3 linked regions of the Rhinolophus ferrumequinum genome follow. The protein of the gene in region 1 purifies or fractionates together with the protein of each later gene. This does not show direct contact. Links are inferred from orthologs where the notes say so. Each region holds a gene or a part of one and is shown in the gene's direction. Other genes may lie near its edges.

The links.
Region 2: the proteins of TOM1 (region 1) and ZFYVE16 purify together in Homo sapiens (affinity purification with western blotting; 3 studies listed by BioGRID and IntAct, with this or other methods). This does not show direct contact. The link is inferred for Rhinolophus ferrumequinum from reciprocal best matches to the Homo sapiens genes TOM1 and ZFYVE16.
Region 3: the proteins of TOM1 (region 1) and CLTC purify together in Homo sapiens (affinity purification with western blotting, with the first as the bait; 3 studies listed by BioGRID). This does not show direct contact. The link is inferred for Rhinolophus ferrumequinum from reciprocal best matches to the Homo sapiens genes TOM1 and CLTC.

What each region holds. Positions count from the first base shown.
Region 1 is NC_046293.1:11,036,204-11,044,103, reverse strand, and holds the start of TOM1 (target of Myb1 membrane trafficking protein), read left to right. Parts: upstream 1-4,862; 5' UTR 4,863-5,083; coding exon 5,084-5,135; intron 5,136-7,900.
Region 2 is NC_046290.1:51,760,196-51,768,080, forward strand, and holds the start of ZFYVE16 (zinc finger FYVE domain-containing protein 16), read left to right. Parts: upstream 1-4,864; 5' UTR 4,865-5,074; intron 5,075-7,885.
Region 3 is NC_046304.1:26,489,044-26,496,763, reverse strand, and holds the start of CLTC (clathrin heavy chain 1), read left to right. Parts: upstream 1-4,640; 5' UTR 4,641-4,853; coding exon 4,854-4,895; intron 4,896-7,720. UniProt on the Homo sapiens protein: Clathrin is the major protein of the polyhedral coat of coated pits and vesicles. Two different adapter protein complexes link the clathrin lattice either to the plasma membrane or to the trans-Golgi network.

The sequences.
Region 1 (7,900 bases):
ATCTTCCCCCATTGCTGGTTTGTGTATATATGACTGTTCCAGATCCCTTCACTGGCGTCTGGGTGTAGGTTTTAAATTTTTATATACATACATATATATATACATATATATATAATGTACAATATATACATAGGACTGTAACTACTTTGCTTTTAATAATTTTATGAAATGGCAAAGGTTTAGCCAAGAGGAAACCTTGGCATGAATGTGGGCTTGGAATTCTTTTTTCTCCTGTGGTGGATAAATCTGCCTTAAAAATCAATGTAACTTGGGGACTGGGGGCTTGTTCTGGGTGCCAAGTGCATCTCTTTATAGACAGCTAAAATGTGATTTTTTTTCCAAACTCGGTTGTACCTCCAGACCCATCACTGACCATTTGCCTTACCTGTCTTATAGTCTGAAATGTAATAGGAAAGATTATGGGAAGATGCCAGTTGACTGAAGTGCAAACCTTTCAACTTGAAGTGACCCAGGTGGGAGGTGATAAAACCGTTCCCATCTTAGAATTATTGTGATGGCTTAGGTGAACTTAGTACAGGGTTCATGCCAATTCCTGCTATACAGGTGTCCATGTCTCAAAAATTATTGTAATCATTGGTACCATTGGCAGCCTCAGCAGGGGCCGAGGAGTTTTGTGAGCCCTGGCAACATAAAACACCTTGGAGACGGCAAAGCTGTCAGTGCCACCAGTTGAACTGCATATATTGTGAGTTGACCCAGAATCTTTGGTCTGCAGAACGAAGAGCTGGTATCTTCCATTGGCAGCATTCGCTTAGCCGCCAAGTCTTCACAGGTCCCGCTGCTAGTTGCTTGGTGGCTGTGGATGATGAACTTCGCCCGGCGGGATTCTTGGGTCCATCTCATTGGCTCCCCTGGGGGGCAGATACACCGTGTTCTACATACCACACATGAGTGAATTGCAAAAAATAGTACTCGATTCTCACGTAGGTTTATTTATGCGCGTGTGTGAATGTGTGTTTTAATTATGTGTATTTAACTCTTTAAAATCTTAGATTTTAATTTATCCTGTAAATTTCTGTACATATAATTTAATAACAAAAGCCTCCACCAGCAACAGCATGTGGAAGATACAGACTTGTTAATTTCTTCCCCCCTTCCTTCCTCTGGCCTCCTCTGAAAACTCCCATCTGCATTTTAAGGTATCATGCCTCAACAAGGTATCATTATGTAAGGATTCTAATTCCTTATAATTCAATAATGTCAAGAAAGTAAAATAAAATGGAATGTTTCCCTTCCCAGCTGCCCGTATTTCCAAAGAACCAGACTTTTGCTTCCTAGTCCCAAAGAAGACAGTTGAGCGCTTCAGGGTTGTTTTTAAATGTGGTGTGAGATTCCCTGCCAACACCCAGCTCTGAGGTAACTGTGCTTCCTTCCTGGGGCCTGGATGGAGCTCCACAGCATCGAGGTGGATCATTGCGGACAGGGCAGCTACGCTGCATCTTACTTAACTCCTTCCCTTCTCCCGACCGGTGGGGTCACCGGGCTGTTTCCTAAAGGTATTCTTGCTGCTAAATGCCTTTCTCAGCTCAGAGCAGTTCTGAGTTTTAATGGGGGAAACAGAAGGAAACAAGAATGTCTGGGAACCAAAATCAAGAAAAACAGAAATCTTGTTTTGATTTCGTGTGTTAGAACTTGTACCACGCCTCATCTGTACCCCTGGAAGTTTCCTGTTTGACACAGGGTGTGAAGGAGGGGCCTTGGAGACATGGATTAATACGGAAAGAAGGCCAGTCCTACCATTGTCATTTGAACACATTAATGAAATCCTGATGAGGACCTGTTTTTTGTTTGTTTTCCTTTAAAATCCAATCCTATTGTATTTGTATTTAAAATTTGTACACATTTGTATAATAATCTGTATCTTGTGGTATTTGGTACTATTAGAGGAAAAACTTTGGATTCAGACCTTGCAGTTTTTATATCATTGTTTTATTTTGTTTTTTAAATAAATTCTAGCGGTTTGATCCAAACTCCATTACAGTTGTATAAAGAAATAAAATTTTGTACTTATATTATTAAAAATCACATTTTTAATATTTGTAGTCCAGTCTCAGCTATCTTTTCCCTGCTGCCAACCAAAGTTGCTCCAAAATTGTAAAACCTGTTTTCCACACTATATCCTACCATAATTATCTTAAAAAGAAAAAACCCATCTAGAATAGAGGTCAAGTTTCTGATCTTAGCCATTTTCCTAACATACACCTTCCTCTGTTTCTATTAATATTAACTCTGACGTTGTGGAATCTCTCATGTTCTCTCTTTCGCAGATTGCAAGCCCAGTGACTCTGATAAAGTGTAGTTCTGTTCACTGGCAAATAAAATAGTATGTACATTACAGTGTTCGCCTAGCTCAAGAAAATATTCATCTGTAAGGTTCACATCTGAATCATGTACTTAATGTGATATATTTCACACAGTTTCAGCACTGTCCTAACTTGGTGGTATTGGATAAGTCACGTAATCTTTATAGGTGTCCTAAGTCACATCTGTAAAAGAGTGTTCATGTCACTTCCTTGTCTCCAAGCCAGCAGCCAGCCAACCTGACATGAATGTTTAGAACTATTGTGAACATTTAATATATGGAAATTTGACCTTTTTCAAGGTAAAAATTTCAATGCAAACAAGGTGTTACTAGTCATAAAGTGAAATATTATGATTGAAAGGCTAACGTACAGAGAGGCAGCAAGAAAGACATCACCATATTGCTGAATACTATTATAGAGAATGACTTGCATATTTTCTCTCACTTAATCCTCCCAAAAGCCTTTTGAGTATTATCCCCCTTTACAAATAAAGATGCAGAAAAGTACTTTCCCTAAGGTTATACAGCTAGTAGTAGACGGTAGCGCCAGAATAAGCACACTGTTCAAACTGACCCCAAAGCCTAGGCTCTCTTCTACCCAAAGCCACTTATGTAATCCATCAGAATCCTCCGTTATCTACAGTACTGAGTGATTGTAGGAAAACTATCTGAGACTGTTTCTTTGTTCAAATGCCCTTTTGTCCTAGGTGGATTTTACGATAGAGGCCTCACTTTCTTGTCATACTATTGTCTTTAAACTTTATTGGCAAAGTATCTTGATTTTTGTCTAGTAGCACTTACTGGATATGATAGATGACATTGCATTTAAGCAATATGTCAGTCTTAAGGGACGTAAGCATTTTTCCCTTTGAAGGTAAAAGGAAGGCATTTGATATTCATAAAACACTTAAAAGGTAAAATTAAAATGGATTTTTTACTAAATGACTGTTCCTTGCAAAAAATTTTTAAACATACTTTTAATCAGTTTTGTACTAAATATTTTCCATTTATATTCCTATCGTTTGTGTTGACAAAATCCACACACTTCCATTTCTAACTGAATAGATACACAGTATTCTGTTTGCATGGAGTTAAGATGATTTTACTCCGCTTGGGGGGTATGTGGGTTGTTTCTGCTTTTTTACTATGAAGGATAAAACTTACAGTGGTTTTATTCTTGGCAGTAAAGCCAAGATCTTTTGCCCATAATCACTTTAAACCAGAGTGATGCAGGAAAGCAGGAACTTCTGGTAAATCACCACCCAAAATAATGGAAGAAGCCAAAGGAAGTTCATGCTAAATATACGCCATACAACCAAGCAATATTCTTAAAGGAAGAAAAATATGTATGTTACCTGACATGACGTTCATCTTAAAGGTACGTGCCCCCCTCCCATAGTCCAAATACCATTATTGAAAGGTAGATGATTTAAATTTTCTTGTTAGTCATTGTGCTAGACAATAGTGGTGAGGAAAGGAGACATAGTATCCCAGCCCTCATGGAGCATCTAGACTAGTGGGGGGGAGGGCATTTATTAAAAGGATGGGCATTATTAAAACACTTCAAAGCACAGGAGTACGTGACTCCCATAAAGTTTTTATATTGTGCATTAAAGATGTCAGCCCTCAAACAGGTTGACATCTGTTAAACACGTTAACACACAGAAGTGATTAAGTTCTAATTTAGGTTTTCCATCCTAAATTTGTGCACAATTTAATAGGCTTTCAAATTTAAGAATCACAAACATCGTGGTCAGTAAATACTAAAGCCACTAACTACCAAAGCAGTGGTTATTGTATCTTCTGGTGTGCGTGTCAGAAGAAAAAAAACAACCAATAGGTCAGATCTAATGTGCAGGCAACATCTGAAACATGGCAGGACAGGAAGGTTTAAGGAGATACTAGAATCACAAAGCTGGGGAAGGCCTTTGGAATCTTAATTCTTGAGGTCCACAGCTGTACTTCGGCGACCCCAGAAACTCCCTGAAGTTAAATTGTGTCTCTGCCTTTTCTCTTCAGAAAGGCTCATGGCTTCAAATTCTCAAAGGAGCCTGTGACCTAAAAAAATCAGAGTCCTCGATCTAATTCCAGCATCCAGAGAAAAATGGAAACTCACTGCTTGAATCACACAGTAAATGGCAGAGACGTGCCCTGCTCGTGGCTACATCTGTGTGCTTTCTACCACCCTGGGCTCTAGCCCGTCCCAAGTTGGAATTCATTGAGTTGTCTCTCTGTCAAAGGATCTCAAACCCCTGGACCTCGACCTCAGATAGGAAGAGTTCTACCAAGGCAAGGAGACAACCGGCCAAAGAGGCGTCAACCCCAGCGGAAGGTGAGGTCCCAAGAGCTAAAACACGTAAGAGTGAGAACTGTAGTCTGGGCTTGCTCTGCAACCTTCCCCAAGTCATTTCTCTGGTCTGGGACCCGGTTTTCCCGGTGTGTTAAGAGATCACTAGGCCACGCCCCTAAACCTTAGAAAACGTCGAGGGCGTGGCTTAAAGGTCCAAGCTCTTTACCGCGCTACGCTGTGCGTGACGTCCGCCGACACCGAGTAAGCCGCAGTGAGGTCACCGCCCTCCTTCTCAGTGATCCCGACCCTCCTTCTCAGGGGCGGGGCCTGTGGCCACGCTCCAGACTCCCTCCGCCCTGCCCCCACCGGCGCCACCTCGCGGACCATCCGGCGCGTCACGTGACGGGTCGAAGGCGCTGGCGGTTGCTGTCAGCTGATTCCACGGGTTGGTGGCAGCGGCAGCCGCAACGATGGACTTTCTCCTGGGGAACCCATTCAGCTCTCCGGTGGGACAGCGCATCGGTGAGTCCCTGGAGTCTCGGCCAACCCCGACGCAGGGCTTCGCGCCCGGCCTCGGTCCCCGCGGGGCTCACCCACGTCCCCAGTCACACACCGGAGGGAGGCAGGGAAGGGGAACGCGCCTGGCGCGTCTCTCCGAGACTTGGCCCCGCCCAGTCTCCCGCCCATCTTGATTGACAAAAGCCTTGGTCCATTAGGGAGCCTCGGATTGTGATGGATACCTGTCACAGCCAATAGACAAAGAGAGAGGGCGGGTCCGCCCGCGGCTCAGCCAATGCGCGGCTGCTGGGGTCGCGAATACAGGGAGAAAGTTTAGACGGTTAAAGGGACTGCCAGCTTTCGCAGTCCTTGGGGTGTTCCATTTTTTACCTCTGCGCGTTCCCAGCTGGGGTCGCGCAGCCTGGGCTCTTGCCGTCTCCTTCCTGAGTTGCCAGGCTTTCCGGATACGGATACCTGAGAAGGGCTAGAAGTTCATTCTCCCAGGATCAGAGCTGGGCGTCTGGGCAGCTCTTCTCTGGCAGTCCTCAGCCACCAGCGTCAGCTCTCCCGCATAGAGTTGCCGGCGCTCCGAGCTGCAGTGATCTTAGAAACCACCTGATGGGGCCTCCTTTATTTCTCAGTAGCTCGGACAGCCCAGCACTCTGGCCAGAGACACAGGCTTACTCAGAGCCCAGGTCTCCTGACTCTCTTACCCCCTGTTGACGGGACACGTACTAGTTCAGTGACGCTGCCTCTCTGTGCCGATGTTTCCTTCCCTGTAATTAGCGGATAATAAAGGTCCCTACCTCCGTGGGGTTGTTGTGAAGATTAAACTCATTAATAAATGTAAAGTACTTAGAACAGTGCCTGCCAATGTTCTATAAAAGACAGTGGTAATATTTATTGTCAGTGTTACTGAGATGCCACCAAGGGAGGCTCGGGAGTCCCTGCAAACGGCGAGGTCGTAGCTCTCATAGGTACTCAGTCCTGCCTGCACCACGGGAGGACCCACGGGCCCTCCCAAACAGCTCACACTTCTCCAGGGAGTCTGGCTTTGTCTCCGTCTTTCATGAGGAAACCGCAGGCAGTACTGTGAAATCCTCTCTTCATCTTTTTTGATAGTTTAAAGCCTGAAACCCAGGTTGGGAAAATTGGATCTTTTAAATAAGACATTCTTTCCATTCTTAAATGTCTTGGAAGCCAAGCCTAACTTAAGTCTGTCAGCCCAGCTCTGTGTTGTAATTGTCACCGTGGCTGTTTGTGGCTCTTCTGAGGTTTTGTAATCAAATCTCTCCAACAGGGGTGTGGCCGTAGAGGATTTACAAATCACCAGGAAGCTCCTGGACCCAAGAGGGGAAGCTGTCCTCTCAGGACCACCAACACCCACCCCCTGCGGCTCCCCCACACCACACACACACACACACACACACACACACACACCCGGGTCATTGTTTTAGAGCTGAAAAGAAGGTAGCTCTCCTTTCATCTTTCTTTCTTCAGCTACAGATACCACTGCTTTCATCACATGCCAAGTTTGAGACTTAACTACTTAAAACAAAACTCTGCCCTTCTAAGTCAGCCTATAAATACCTGAGGCTTTCTTGAAAAGCTCACCTGAACTCTGGGCCTCAGATGGTCAAAGAAAACAGCTTCTCTTTTTACCCTGAAAGGGTTGCCTGCCTTGGGTAAGAAATACTCTGTCCAAAGAGAATGCTACTAAATCATAATACATTAGAGCACAAACCAAGTTTCACTGCTGGAAGGGTCCTTACCCCGGGGCTCTTCTAACCTAAAGTTCTCCTCTGAATCCCCTGGAGATCTTATTAAAGCACCGCAGGCTGGGCCCCACCCCCAGAGCTTCTGACTCTACAGGTGTGGGGTGGAGGCCTAGAATTGGTATTGTTAACAAGTTCCCAGGGGATTCTAATGCCACTGGATTGGAAACTGCATATTGAAAACCTGTTTCAGTCCATCGTCTTCATTTTACGAAGGAAAATGAGGCCCAGAGAGGGGAAGCTAGAGACTGTGACTCACCCAGGACCCCGGTGAAATGATAGGAAAGATGAGATGAACTCCCCAGAGCCACTGAACTTTAGAGCAGAAGAAGCTCTAAAAGTAGAATTAAATGAAGAATATCTGCCCTCGGTATTCCATATTTTTCTTTTAGATAAAGAGGCGGAAGTACCACCGATTGGCTGTGATTATTGATGACCTAATATTAGCGGCTCGTATTTCTATAAACTACCCGAGTACAATAATCTCAAGCCTGCCAACTCCATCCCTTAGTGAGGGTAGAGCCCTGTAGACTTGATGTCCCTGAACTCAGTGGATTCTGACGCTGTGTTGGGAGGTTGTTGTGTTGTGTTATGAAACATGTGCCCTGGTACCTGCCAGACAGTAAGTGTCCATAATCGTTAGCCATTGTGATTTTTCACTGGTGTGATCATCATTGCTGGGGCACACTCTAAGTTAGTGGCAGAGCCAAGGTGCCAACCAGGGCCCTGATTGCAGTGCAGCCTCTGTGTTGGTCGCGGCATCATTGGGAACGAGCAGTGACTGGCCGGCTGGCAGCCATATTCACAGACAGGTCAGGTTTCAGGCTGTGGGGTGGAACCGGTTCTCACTGGGGAATTAGAGCCTTTGACTGGCCCTACAGCTAGAACTGGTAAATAGGTTTTGTGAATAGGTTTTGTTCCCTCACTGAGTCAAAGAAATAAGAGTCAAGTCCCGGATTTCCGCCCTTTTGGATTTAGAAAATAAAAACCGTTAGTGTCTTCTACTTAGCCTAG
Region 2 (7,885 bases), on another chromosome or scaffold:
TTTTTTCCCCATTAAATGCATGGCAATACCTTTATTTAGTGGCAGGATCTTCAGGAATGAATGAAAGTCATTATGAGACCTAAATATTATTATTTTTTTAGTATATTTTATAAAAATGAAGGATCCATTTGTATCCTGCCCTTATCATGGATGATAGTTCTCAAATTTTATAGCAGTATACATAACTCTATGGGTAACGATTTTAAAGCAGATTTTTGTTTGTAGTCCTGTTTAATGCAGCTAAGCTTTAAATACAGAGGGTGCCAAAAACATGTATACATATTTTAAGAAAGGAAAATTGTATTAAAACTGTAATACTCAATATATACCAATAACAAAAGATGACTACAAGTCACGTTTGATTTCTGCAATTACAAGAGGTACTCAAAGTGGTTACCATCAGTGTCCAGACACTTCTGATTATAGCGAACTATTGTGCAACGTTGACCAAAGTGTCCATTTGTATACATTTTCTTGGCACTCCCAGTATTATTTTTCTTCTAAAAAATTTCTTTTTTAGTGTTAATTAATTCCATTATGAATGCCTTTCTTCTAGACACTTTTCAATTTAATATGATCCATGGTTTCTGGGCTTATCACATATTTCTAGTAACTTGCGACTTAAAGGACATTCAAAGGCTGGTAGCATATGACTTGCTTCCAATCCATTGTAGAATGTTCCTCAAAGAATATGATATTTTTGCTCAACCTCACTAATCATTAGAGAAATGCAAATAAAAACCACAATGAGATATCACCTCACCCCAGTCAAAATGGCTATCATCAATGAATCAACAAACAACAAGTGCTGGTGAGGTATTGGAGAAAAGGGTGCACGGCTGGGATTGCAGACTGGTGCAGCCACTATGGAAATCACTATGGAGGATTCTCAAAAAACTGGGAATGGAAGTACCTTGAGACTCAGCAATTCCACTCCTAGGTATCTATCCAGAGAAATCCAAAACACTAATTCGAAAAAATTTATGCACCCCTGTGTTTATTGCAGTGCTATTCACAATAGCTAAGACATGGAAACAACCAAAATGCCCATCGGTTGATGACTGGATTAAGAAACTGTGGTACATTTATACAATGGAGCATTACTCGGCCATAAAGAAGATTGAAATCTTACCATTTGCAACAACATGGATGGACCCAGAGAACATTATGCTAAGTGAAGTAAGTCAAATGGAGAAAGACAAATACCATATGATCTCACTTATATGCAGAATCTAAAGAATAGAATAAATGAACAAACTAATCAGAAACAGTCTCAGAGATATAGAGGAAAAACTGAGGGTTGCTAGATGGGAGCGGGAGTGAGGATGAAGGAGAAGGTGAGGGGATTAGAAAGTACAATTGGTAACCACAAGATTGCCATGGGGATACGAAAGTCAGTTTGGGGAATATAATCAATAATGCTGTAAAGATTTTATAGGGTATCGGATGGACATCTGTTTTATTAGAGAGACCACTTTAGGGACGGTGTAGATGCCTGATAACCGTGATATACACCTGAAGCTGAAGCTGAATAATAATGAATGTCAACTATAATTTAATATATATATATAGTCATAAGAAGCAGAGTACTGCATAAGGAATAGAGGCAGTGGAAATGTAACGTCTGTGTGCAATGTCAGAGGGGTAGTAGATTGGGGGAGGGGGTTAACACTTTGTGAGGGGTATAAATCATAAATGTCTAACTATTATACTGTTTTGTACACCTGAAACTAGTAAAAAAAGGAATATGATATTTTTATATTTATGGGTGGATAATTATCGTGTGCTGAATCTTTGTCAGATGGCTGTGTATTTAATGTTTTATTTCAAATCGTTAAGTTTTGGTGCTCAAATCAATCTTAACATTCCTCTCTGTAAATAAGCAAAAAATAGCTACAATTCATATTTAAAGCTATGTACTTCCTCTTTTACTGTTCTGACACTGCACTCCATTTCTATTCTTAGGAAAAATAAAACAGGCAGGTCTTAGTGTGCTAAAACCACATCATAAAGCTGTTTTGCTTCATGGTCCAGGAATTCTGGTTCGTTTCCCTTCTCCCTCTGTTTGTCTAGCTCTTAAAAACAATCCCTCCTTTTGATTGCTTAATACCTCACCATAACCACAAATAAGTAAAGAATAATTTTAAACTTTTAATTTTCCGTGTTACTGGGGAAATCATTCACCAAGCCCACAGACTTTTAAAAAGATATTGTAGGAGTGAGGGATGAGTATATCATGTTGTATTTTCTTGGTTCAATTTTGCAAGATTTATTACTAAACAATTTAAAAATTTTAGTCTGATATTATAGACATTGACAAACATCTTTATTGAGGCTTCAAGAGATGTTTATCTCTAATGTGATAGAATAATGTGTGTTAGCAAGTATTATTTTCTTTTTTGCTCCATATCATTTCTGTCTGGTCATTAAATTTTTTTCCTCAATTAGTCATGCATATTGGATTAGCTTATCAATGGTTATTTTCCATGAGGTTATATTTTCTCTCTGTAGTAAATAAATATCTTGCAGTGAGAAATAGAATTTGAACAGAATAGATTTTAAAAGAGGAATCTTGAACCCCATTTATGAAAGCTTTGAGAGCTATTATTCCATATTTTTAATTTGTAGATAATATACACACACACACACACACACACACAAACACACGCACACATATATTTAGCTATACCTATAGACATTTGCCCTAGATGATTTAACTGTAAGCTTTATTAACTTCTTATTTTTCTCCATCCTATCAACTCATATTTTCCTATTGTATTCATTTTCATACTTTTTTTCCTCAATGAAAAATTTCTACATATAGAATGGACTTCCTCTTGTTTGCTACCCTAAACATGTTTCAATAGTTTTTTTAAGAGAAAACACTTTCCATACACTTTAGCCATGGGATTGTTTGCCTTTTCCCAAACAAAATCTTTTGATGAGTTGTTTTATAGTGTGAATTTAATTTATAATGTCAAATTATAGCATTTATTTTTAGCAAGTCAATCAGCAAGAACAAGGAGGCTGTTTTAATTAGCCCAAATATGAAATCAGGGTTTATAGATGGCCTTAACATATAATTTATGCCTGGATTTGTTTGGTCTATAAAGTGTGGAAAACATTCTGATTCACCCACATCCTGGCAGGTGTTTAATAGCTCGACATTCTGGACACTCTGAAATTAAACAAATGTCAGGGGAAGATTTATTCTGAAATGTATATAAAAAGTAATTATCTGGTAGCACAGGTATCAATTTGTTGATGACCTCCAGATATTTCTATATAATACATTTGAAAGTTCAGATTTTTAAAAAATTATGGTAAAATGCATATAACATAAAACTTACCATCTTAAGCATTTTAAGTGTACAGTTTTAGAAATGTTAAGTGTATTCACAGTGTTGCGCACACAATCTCCAGAACTCTTTTCATCTTGTAAAACGGAAACTCTATATTCATTAAATCACAAGTCTCTATTTCCCTCTCCCACCAGCCTGTGTCAACCACCCTTTTATTTTCAGGATCTATGAATGTGACTACTCTAGTACCTCATATAAGTGGAATCGTACAGTATTTGTCTTGTTGTGACTAGCTTATTTCACTTAGCATAACGTCCTCAAGATTCATCCGTATTGTAGCATTTGTTAGAATTCCCCCCCCCCCTTTTTAGGCTAAATAATATTCCATTGTATGTATATACTATCTTTTGTTTATTCATTCATCCTTCAACAACACGAGTTGCTTCCACCTTTTGGTTATAGTGAATAATGCTGCTATAAACGTGGATATACAAATATCTCTACCCCTGCTTTCAATTCTTTTGGGTGTGTACCTGGAGGTAGAATTACAGAATCACATGGTAATTCTATTTTTAAATTTTTGAGAAACTGCCATACTGTTTTATATAGTGGTTATACCATTTCAGATTTTTTGAAAAAATCATAGTCATAGTTTTAAGGGGAAATTCTAGTCAAATATTTGTGAGCCCCTAAAGAGCCTCTTTAGAAACTTCAGATTCTACAGAACTCGGTCTGAGAACCAGAGACTTAGAATACTCAGATCATCAGGCAAAGAATCCACATTTGTTGCTGGGGTCTCTTAGGTTTCACAGGCAAGGTCTGTTTCATGCTGATGGTGGTGTGTTTGTTAGTATAAAATCAATGCCTTATATTTACATAGCACCTTGAATTGAAAAGCACCATGTAAATAAATGAAGGTAGTTAAGAACCACTGTTTTGGTGGTCCAGGACCAATTTTGATTGGTGAATGTAATACTTTCCACAATTATGCACTGCATAATTACTTAGGCATTTCTATTTTAAATTGTACATTTAAATGATGAACTAGTAGTGATTGCTGCTCTCCTGTTTTTATTTTTACATATTTTTTTAAACTACTGATGCTAAATAACTTGAGAAGATTTGGGATTCATGCTAATTTTTATTTGAAAGAATGTTTCTCACAACATAGCTAAATTTTTTTAAAATACAGCTTTTTATGCATGCTTTTCAAGCTTGGACTAGTACATATCAATAATCATTCCACTGAATTAAAATATCAATAAAGAGAATAGGCACATATAATATTATAGGCCTAAACTCCAAGTACCTTTACTTTGCATTGGGATAAGCAATGATATAAAATTTATTTCTGATCATCTATGCTACTATAGGGATCAGGAGCACAGGTATTTTTAGAACAGGAGATGACCCAAGAATTTTTTTTTTGTATTAAAAAATGTGTAAGATTGTTGATTGTGACGTGTTTTTTTCAATTGGGGGGTGAAATCATAGGGTGCTTGTTTTTTACTCAACTATATATTATAATTCACTTGTCATTTCTTAACATATAGCAGCCAATACTGGAAGGAATTAGCAACAGTGAATGTCAGGCAGCAATGAGAAACCAGAATGGGATGTTAATTTGTCACAGAAAAATCCACAAAGTACAAATCTACATCTGGACATACCCAAATGTTACTTGTGAAATTAGGCCAAATTCCTACTGAGGATTTATAACCTACTGAAGATGAATGCCAGGTCTCAAGGACTTAGCAGCAAAAAGGAGAAAGGTAGGATCATGTTATACTTTCTATTCCAAATGAAATCTATTCTTTCCTCATTTATTGTTAACTCTCACTTGAAATCCTAGCCTCAGCACTTCTTTGGTTCATACTTAGTTTCCATTTTAGTTTCTTTGGACATGGTGCTTGGAAAATAATGTACAAACTTGTGTGTGCACGCCCTCATGTTTGTGAGCAAACAAGGCAGTGGGATGCTGTTTGGATTTAAATTTTGTGGTGCCAGGGGCCTGACTCCATTATAGCCCATGTTCCTTTGCTAAAAGTGGCGGCTTCTCTTAGGAAGCAGCTTCCTCTACTCAAAACAGAGGTTCAGTAATTAGGCAAAACAGCTGCTTTGGTTTTGTTTCTCCGTATTTTGTGGAATAAATGGAAGTACCTGTTCTGGATTAACTTCATTGTGGTGCTCAAGGGATATTGAAACACATGATTGCTTTTACATGATAGAATTAACGACTTAATTAGATTTTGTTTCCATGGTTCAAGTTTATAAATAACAGTCGGAATGATATGTGAAGAACGTACCTAATCAAGACACAGTCAGTTCCCTATGCTTGTACATAGTATTTCCTACATTCCTATATCTTTCATGTGGTCCTAAAAGCACTATGTAGGTATAAAATAAAAGCTTTTTGTGTTTATGAACATCACAAGGATTAGCAAATACTGACTAATGTGAAGGTCGGCATGGAGTGTGTTAGCAAATGGAGTGGGGTAGTGGAAAGCGCTCTTAACAGACAGATATAAATGTGAAGCCAAGTCTCACCACTTAGGAGCTACATAATCTTGTCATGTTACTTCACTTCTCTGTGTTTCAGTTTTCTCCTCTGACAAATAGGGAGTAGTAACTATGTCACGCATAGCGGCCTGCTGGGTCTCAGCTCCCGCTCCCAACACAAGAACGCAGGACACAGTGAGGCCAAAAAGGAACACCAACGGAGCCATAGATAGAGGAGTCACACCACTATAGTCTTGCTGGAGGCTGGGTTGGAGACACAGGAAGCAGGAGCCACATGATCCACAACCTGCCATCCACTTGTCTCTCTGCCAACCCACCTCACTTACCAGCTGCAATCCGCTGTGCTAACTGCACTCCACCGCTTGGTAGCTCAGCCCCCATCTTCTTGCTAGCCCCCATCTGCTGCTAGCGTAGCCACGGCAGTTATATTAGTGGCCAATGGCTCACTGGTTACAGTGTTACAGTTGACAGCCAACTAGCCACAGCTGATGGCCATCCAATCACAGTTGATGGCCATTTACTACCTGAGCCAGCACCTTTCCACGTGAGGCCGAGAGCCTGGAAACTGCATTCCTGGCTCTGTCCCCACAAACTATCTTGCAGGTTATTGTGAAGATTTGAGAAAATATTGGTGAAGTGTCTCGCTCAGTATGCAACACTCCATAGGTATTGGCCAAAACAGAAGCTGCTATGTCTGCTCTTGAAAAATAAGCTCTTACGTGATTCTAAAAATATTTCACTTTTTATAGAAGGTAGACAATTTTATTTTAAACTTTCAGAGTAGATATGAAAGCAAACAAATATTAGCAATGCATTGCGGGGTAAAGTCTGGTTATAAGCATAAACCTAGAGCAAGTATTAACAGCATAAGGTGGGAATTTGAAACGTGGCACTACTGTTATGGTCCAGGCAGGAAAACAGAACTGGTGTATTTTAATAGAGAAAATTTAACGTGGGGAGACTCATCTTAAACATGAGAGGAGACCTGAGAAGGCAATCAGAGGTCAGTGAAGCAACATAGAGCTTAGCAACAGAGGAAACAGATATTGCTCCCACAGCCAGAGGGACAAAGGGGTGGAACCAGAGCTTAGGAGGCCTGGAGAGAGATGGAACCATGATAGAGATGGACCCCTGCCTGAGATGTCACACAACCCACAGAGAGAAAGGAGGAGAAATATACTGGTTTTCCCACTTCTCACCCTTCAGTCTCTGGTCATTGTTTCCTCAGTGGTCCATCCTAATTAGAAACCAGTAAATGCTGTTTCAGGCTCTTGTTAAAGAGCCTGGGACGGGATTTTAGAGGGATCAGAGCCCTGTAGTACAGAGCAGAACAGGGGAAGGGCGAGGAATGGGTCCGAGGACAAATGGGGAAACAGCCAGCAGAGTGACATTCAGTTATTTTCTGAGAAATTATTTGTATGGCCTGAGACAGAATTGTTGGCAGAGAGTTTATTGCATTTGCTTTTTTCTTTTTCTCACGGTCAGTGCCCTCCCTCCCTGTATTTGGTGAAGGGCAGTTCTAAGGTAGTGAGATCCAAAACTGTGATTAGACCGGAAGGAGGCTCACAGGTACCACAATTCAGAGAACTGTGGTCAGGTCCAGAACAGAAAACTATGGCAGGAAAAAAACAAAGGCAAGTAATGGTTTATTAGTCCAAACAGATAAAATAGATTCTTTACTGGCAATGGATCAAAAATCAATATTAGTGAAACAATCTGCAGTAGACTAGAGATCATGGTGGTTTGCACAAGATGGTGAGAAGTGGATATATTTTAAGGGTGGAGCCAAGAGGATTTACTGATTGTAAGTGTGGGGTGGGGGGAAAGAAGGGTGAAGGGTGATTCACAAATTTATCCTGAGGAACCAAAAGAATAAATTTGCCATTTATCGAGATGAGCAAACTGAAAAAGAAGGTTTGGGAGGATAACAAGAGTTTGGTTTATGATATGCTTAATTTTAGAACATTTTGTTTTCAAAAACTCTTTTTAAAACTGCCATTTTTGTTTGTTTGTTTGTTTATTACATAATGCAGGAGGGTCAGTGCTGAAACCAGGGAAATTAT
Region 3 (7,720 bases), on another chromosome or scaffold:
CTCCTCAGGCAGGGGGCATGTAATCAACTGATCTAATAGTTAGCTATAACTGATCTAATGGTTAGCTAGATAATCTGAAAATATAGAGATGATAAAGGGTTGTCTTTATCAGATTTTTATTTTCACCCTGTAGAAAGCTGTATATTGGTACATCTAACCTGAAGAGACCTTTTCATTTTTCATGCCTTTTAGTGCTAACAGGGTTGGTTCAAAGAAGAAAAATAAAATTTAAATCAATAACCATGAGGTAGGTTCATATGAATACTACATATTTTTCATTACTGGAGTGTAATGAATAGTAGTTGTATGATTGTATACATTAAACTCACAATTATTTGGAATATGAGCAACCAGGAAAAGAAAATAACCCGGTTTTGGGTTTATTTTACATGATCCTCTTTTATCAGTCATGACATGTTACTAAGGCAATTTTTAAAAAGTCATTTCTAGTGTGTTCTAAATTTGGTACATACTCGGACCAGGCAACATTTGCAGGAGTATTGTACAAAAACATCACAGTGATGAACCTGAGGCCTTTTTAAGTTTCATAATTGCTTTCCCTACATAAAACGTTTTTTTTTTGAAAAGCCTTTTCAAAAGATTTTAACATTATTTTTCATTTTTTTGTACTGAAAAGTATTTGTTGACCATGTAAATTCAATTTTACACTTCCTTGAAACTTTGCTATTATTCAGTTAGTGAAAACTTTACCAAATCTCAGTCCTTAGCCATTCTGTTCTGAAGTAGAGTTTACTACCATAACAAGGCCACATATGTGTACATTGCCACTGATGGGAGTACCTACCCCTGGAGTGTGACAGAATTTTAAGATTACTGAGAGAACACGTTTGTGGGTCATGCCTTATTTTGAATTGGAGACAGTAATAACTCTAGAAAGTGAAAAGACAGTTCCACATGTTTAGAAAGGAGGAAAAAAATAGCCCTTAACAATCATTCCCACGCCTTGAGCCTCATTGCCCTTCATTCTATAGATCCTCTCAAGCTTCTTGTGACTTGTTTTTGGTTGTAAAAGAGATGTTGTGATGTGGCATTTGATCCCCTATTGATCAGCAGGGTTATAACTTCTGGGTTTTCTGTCCACAATGCTCTATCACTATATTTGAACCAACCTTCCTGAGATGACTTTGTAAGGTAGTGTTATTATAAGCTTTATTCCTCTGCTGGCCTCTGATTTAACCTTTAGAAAACATGCGAGGGGCCTGTGTAATATGAATAGATTCCAGACCGTATTCCCACAGGACTAGTCTTGGCTATCCTGACATGGAATAAAGATTCACTATAGATCTTATTGCCATCTTTGAAGCATTATAAACTTGTCTATGTAAATTAGGTTTAGGGCAAGCCTGAGTGAATGATACTGAGTATCCGAGTTAAGTTCGAGAACATTTCATTCTAAAAAAGGCCACAAAATTTTTTTTCTTTTTGTGTCCTTTTGGGTGAGCGTTGCCTATAATCAGTGCCTTATACAGGGCTAAAATAAAGCGAGCACTGTATGTTGACTGATACCTGAGCCACTTACTGTGCGTTTGATGTACTGCCCTTGATTTAATCCTGCTGGGATTCGTATCAGTGGCCCTAGAGGGCTGAGATGTTTCAAAGCTGCGGTTTAAATGGCAAAACCACTTATCTTACTTGGGTAATGCTAAAGTATATCCTGTTTGGTTTTGCTAAAATCTGAATTTTAAATATTTGGTACTGGTGGATTAGGTTTAAAGTTCTGCTTTAAAATTAATCTCTTAATGTTTGAGGAATGCCTTTACGTTGTGGTTTTTGCAATGCAACTAGCTCACACTGTTTTTAAAAGGTCAAGTTAAACAGCAGGGACCTTAATTCAGGGACTGCTTGAAGATGAATAATACAGAGGAACTTTCGACAATGATAAGTTTTTCTGAGGTGTCATTCTCATGTGAGGTTAACCTGTATTATAGTTATCGGCATAAAACATAAAAAAGGTTTTGAGAAATTGGCACGCCTTAAAATAGATGAACAATGCAGTTTTTGCTAATGGTGCTTGCTGTGACTCAGAGCAAGGATATTCTGCTAAAAAAATAGCTTCAAATTGAAAGAACTTGGACCATTTTTTAAACATGGCTACCTTACCTAAACCATTTTCTGAAACCAAAGGATGATGATACATTTATAGTAGTACTCTTATTAAAAGACTTTGTCATACTTAGGGGGGAAAAACCCCCAGCATTTGTTTTCTGGTTTATTAGGCTATTTATTTTCTTCTCTAACTTAATATGGTACCTGAAAACAAAGCCCTTCAGTTACTGCTCAGGTAACTGTTCATAGTGACTCAGCCTTTGGGGCTTCTAAACCAAGGATTGACAATCTTTTTTTCCCTGCCTCTGCATCTTTAGCGACAACAGCATACTACCATACAAAGCTCTTATTACCTCAGCCAAAATTACTGATTTTTAAAATGCAATTTTGGTTTTTCAATTTTTTACCATCTGGACCATTTTTTTCTCTTGAAAAATTTTGGATTTTTTGATTTGAAGTATACAGTGTTCAAAATGAGCGGGTATATTGTAATCTATTTTTATTCTCCCTAAATGATTTCTGAGAACTATGCATTCACTAGATTTCTGTGTGTGATGACACAGCAGTCACTTTAACACAACCTCAGTGCACTTTTGGTTAGATATTGCCCACCAAATATCCAAGCTAAAATCAATTCCTTTGGGGATTCTAAATGTAGTTAAAATTACACAGGTCTGTACGAAAACACAAGTTATTAATAAATTTCAGTGGCTTGTTCATGATATAATTTGTATCCCAGATTATAATTGGAAACGTTTCTTAAGCTATAGCTTTTACTGGAATAAAACAATAAGTCCTATAGATTTTTAATTTAGAATTTGTCTATTTCCAGAAAGGATTGAAAGTAGCTATTATACTGGTATTAGGAAGGTCATTTACAATGTTGCAGAATACAGAACATCTTCAAGTATTTGGCTTAACAAAATGAAATTTTGCCAAGCATAAATATTTACTCTTATGACATGGTGGCAAGGCTTTTCTTTGCAGAACGTTCTCTGCTGTTTCTTACCTGCCAAAGATTCTTCCCTCATCCTCAGTATGTGACATATATTTTGGAAAAAACAAAGCAATTTAAATGATGAAGCAAACTTCTCTAGGCAAAACTGCTTAACACACAAAATCATTGCATACTTAATAGTGTTCTACGTTTTTAACTGGGAAGGGCACTAAAAATCACTGTATACTTGAGTATTTCCTCAAGATCTTTCTGGAAAAATAATCACATCTCTTATCAAGATGAAAGGCACGGAACTAAATTTTTTTTTGTCATTGTATTTGTGCTAGTATGAAATATTACAGCTTACAATTTAGCAATAAAGTACTGGGAAGGTTATTAATCGTTAATTAATACCATAGATACATTAATGCTGTTAGAAAGACATGACACTCCTGCTTTGAAGCGCTTACATTTCCAAACAGTGCTAATTTATAAGCAATGTGGAGGTGGCCCTGCCAATAGTTAGTTAATCCCTTTCTCCAAGAGTGTTCATTAGCCACACCGAGGAAGAACCTTAAGGTTTTACAAACCACCCTTAACCTAATTATCTAAATCTTCCGAGTCTCGTGATTTGATGTGGCCAAAAGATTCCTGCTACAATTTTGGTCCAGTTCTTCCGCGTATTTATGATACTCAAACCCTTTAACACCAAAAAATGTATTACTAAGCTAGGCCGATATGCATGTCCGCCAAAATGTCCGCAGAAACGTTAAAAGCTATCACAAGGCCAGTTTGAGATACCTCAGAAATGGCCTTCACTGTCCTTCGAGCCACTTTTTAAAGTAACATCCGAAGAGACTGCTAGCTCTTAGTTAAGAATCCAAGCGTGTCTCTCCAACCGTCAGAAGGGTGTGCATAGGGCAGGGAGGATTTTAAACCCCATTTCACTCCCCCGTCCCTGAGATGTAAGAAAACACCCACTATATGAAACTAGGCGGGGGAGAACTGCAGCCAGCTGCCAAAAAAGCGCTCTGCAGGGAGGTCGTTTCCCTGAGTCACGGAGAGGGCGGGAGGCTGGGCCCATCTGCCCACTCCACGTTCTCTTCGTAAGGGATTCAGTTTAAATAGGCAGGACCCACAGGGAACGGGAGCAGCACCACCATTCCTCAAGGCGGTCCAACAGCCACCGCATTCCCAGGAGACTCCACATTTCTCTAGAACTCGTTCTGCATTCTGGCAGCAATCAGCCAACCCATCCTGACCAGCATCACGTGCACCCGGAAGTACGTGGGTGGGACCTAAAGCGCCCACGGAAATGACGTCGGTCGCCCCTAGTCGCATGATGTGGCAAAATGCAAAAAAAAAAAAAAAAGAAAAAAAAGAAAGGAGGGAGGGAAAAGCCGGAGGCTGGGGAAAGTGATGAGTCCAAAAAAGTAGTCCCTTCGCTTCCTCCAATTCCCCTCATGTGTCAGCAGTAAGCGAGTCCCACAGCGCATTGCGTCCAGAATTCCTGCGCCCGCAGCACCGCGGCGCTCCGTGGAGGGGTACATAAGACGGAGGGGGTGAGGTGACTTGGGCGGAGTTCTGTCGCCGGGATCCCTCCGCAGGGCTCAGCCGTTTCCGGAGTCTGCGCTGCGCCCGGTTCCGCCATTGCGGCTCTCCCGGACCCTGGAGCCTCCGCCCCCGACCCGAGCTCTTTCGTCTGCCTGCCAGTTTCCTGCGTCCCCGGAGAGTATCCTGCTGAGCCCAGCCTACCCCCTCCCTTTTCTCCTCCTCTCCCTTGGAGAGTCCGGGCAGCCACTGCCCCGCAGCCCCAGTGACAGGAGGAGACCATACCCCCGACAGCGCCATGGCCCAGATTCTGCCAATTCGTTTTCAGGAGCATCTTCAGGTGCGACTGGGCCCTGGCTGGTCAGGGCTGTGGAGAGGGTGGTAAGGAGGAGAAAGCTGGAGTCTAGGCCAAGCAAAAAGCTGAATCGGAGGTGGGGGTGGGGGTTGTCGGTGTCCGGGGTAGATGGAGGATGGGGGCGCTATTTTGGAAAGCTTAAAGGGTTAAGTGATGTGGGGTTTGGATGGAAAGGACGAGAGTCGGGGTGCAAAGTGCCGCGAGGCCTGTCGTGGGTTCGAGGGCCTTTCTGTCTTCGCTTCCTGGATGGCAAGAACTGCGCATACTAACTCCACCCCTCTCCCCGTTTTATTCAGTTCATTCATTTGGATAGGTTGGAGCGGGGGGAATTCTCCGTGTTTCTTCCGGAGCAAGGGTTTCATCGCCTAGGTCAGTGCAGGGCTGTCACCTCCCATTGCTCTTTTTCCCCCAACGTGTCTGCACCCAGGAGTTGTAGGGCGGGTGGGTTGGGGAGGAGCAATCTTTTTCTTCCTTCCTTTTGCGGCTCTCATCTGGGAAAGGCACCTTCCCCTGGGGGTGGGGGGAACGGCGGTGGTTTGCCTCTTGCCATCCCCGAGGCAGTAGGAACAGAAGGTCACTGAAGGAACTGGAGGATAGAATGGAGGAACGTATTTCTCAGGGCGGTGTCAATCTGAGTGCGTGGGGTCAAGGTCCCTAGGGGAACTCGCCTTTTTTCCCCTCTCTCTTGAGTCCTGGGCATGGAATGGCCCTCAATCCCCTCTTTGGTTCTGGAAGGTAGGAAGGGTTATGGAGAGGTTATCTTGGGGTCTGCTGGAGTGTAGCAGGTAGTTGTGGGCGTGAGTACCTCCCTCAGGTTTGCTGGAATCAAATCAAGCCCTGAGGATAAAGCACACCTGCTCTGAGATATGCAAGGTTTTGGGCCTGTAATTGGCTTCCTTTTCGTAGGTTCTAGAATTCTTCCCCATGGTGCGTTATCCTGTAGACAACATACTGTCTTATCTGGCAACATGCCCAGGGAGGGCCCAGGCAGGTGATCATTGGAAGGTTTGACTGAATTAAGCCTTTTCTGAGCTGATTTCCCTGGTTCACCAATCCTGGTTTCACTTTGGCTGAAATAATTTATTAATATTAATGTGCTTTCTTCCGAAATACCCCTTAAAGAGGCTTGCCTCAGCTCAATCTTCTGAAGAGCTAATTTCACAATGATAAAAGAGACTGGTTTGACATGACACTAATACTAGTGACCTATTGGCTATCGGACACTTTACCACTAGAAGGCTAATTTTATTTACTTTTTTCCCATTGGTATAACATACATTAAGGATTCTTGTTAATAAAAAGGTTTAATGTATCAGTAACATAATTTCATATTTCTTTACAGGTATTATCACCTTTGCTTGCATCAGCAAGAAATTCTTTTCCTTTTAAGTCTTGAAATGTAATGAATAATCTTTACTCAGAAAATGAGTTAAGTAATGCCTTTTCTTCAATCATCTATGGTTTTCAGATAACTTATCTGAAGTAATGGAACACTATTTTACAAAAGGTTAAAAAAATGTTAAGTGACCTAATGGACACGGAGAAGTTATTGTTTATGCTCAATCTAAATTTTAATTGCTGTGCTTACTTCTGTTCAAGTGGGGTGTAAATGAATGTGTAGGTTTAGGGGAAAAATGTCCTTGGGTGTGGGGGAAAACACAGGCTTCTCACACTGAAGTGCATATGATGTATAATCTTTCTGCAGACAGAGGTTTGTAAAATCATACACAAGAGAAGCAGGTATAGTTGCTGATTACAAGGCAGAAATACAGCCCACTAGTAAGTCTTATTTCTTAACTAGTGGTGGTTTGAGCAATAGCTTGTCACACCTAATTAAGAAGAAACAAGAATTGTTAAATAATCCCAACGATTGGAATCCAACCTTTTAACTGATTGAAGACAGGTTTAATGTGAAGACGGTCTGATATCTAAAGTATTTGAAATTTCTGCAAATACTTGAGTGAAGCCATTTTCTTCTCAAATAATTTGAAGATTTGAGCATAAAGCAGCTTTGTAAATATACTTGAATAATTTAGTCATCCCTTTTTTGGACTAATATGCCATGCCTAAACTTAAGCTTGCTACTGTGACTTTGTACTCCAACTGGTAGTGATTAGTTGTGCAAGGATCCCCAATCACCAACCTCTTCCAGGAAAATATACTCCTGACTTCTCATTTTTATCCCTTCCTTTTTTAAAAATAAATAAGAGTTGTTTTAATTAGCATTTTAGGTCTTTGACCTCTGAGTCCTGCCAGTTTGCTAAGTAGCAGAAAACTTTCTGAAGCACGTAGGATAAAAATTGGGAACAAGAATTGAGGAACTTGAGTGTAGAGTTAGCTTGTGAAAGGTAGACTGTAAATGAATTTATTTCTATACTATGTAACTACTTTGGCCAACTGAAGGATCTATCATCAAGGCTTGAAATTGCAGCAAATAAATAATAATATTTTAAGTTATGAAAGATTTTTTTTTTCTCTTTTAGGATGTTTAGGCTGATAGCAGTCAACAGATGAGTGCCTATTTGAGACATTGCTAGAGTTGCAGATTCTAAAAAAAACAAAACCTTAGGCTACATATAAAATGTTGCCTGCAATTCTTAATTCTTTGCACATTAAGTATCTTTATGTCAATGAACACATTCCACTGTTTACCAGGTTTCTCAGGTCTGTAATTAAAAATCTCCACTCTGTTTTCTTCCCTTTGATCCGTAGACTCAGGCATGGAATATGTTGTGAGTTGAATGGTAGGAGTTTTTGCTATGGTGGTTTTGGTTTGCAAAGAGACAGCAAAGCTAAGTATTACTGGGATA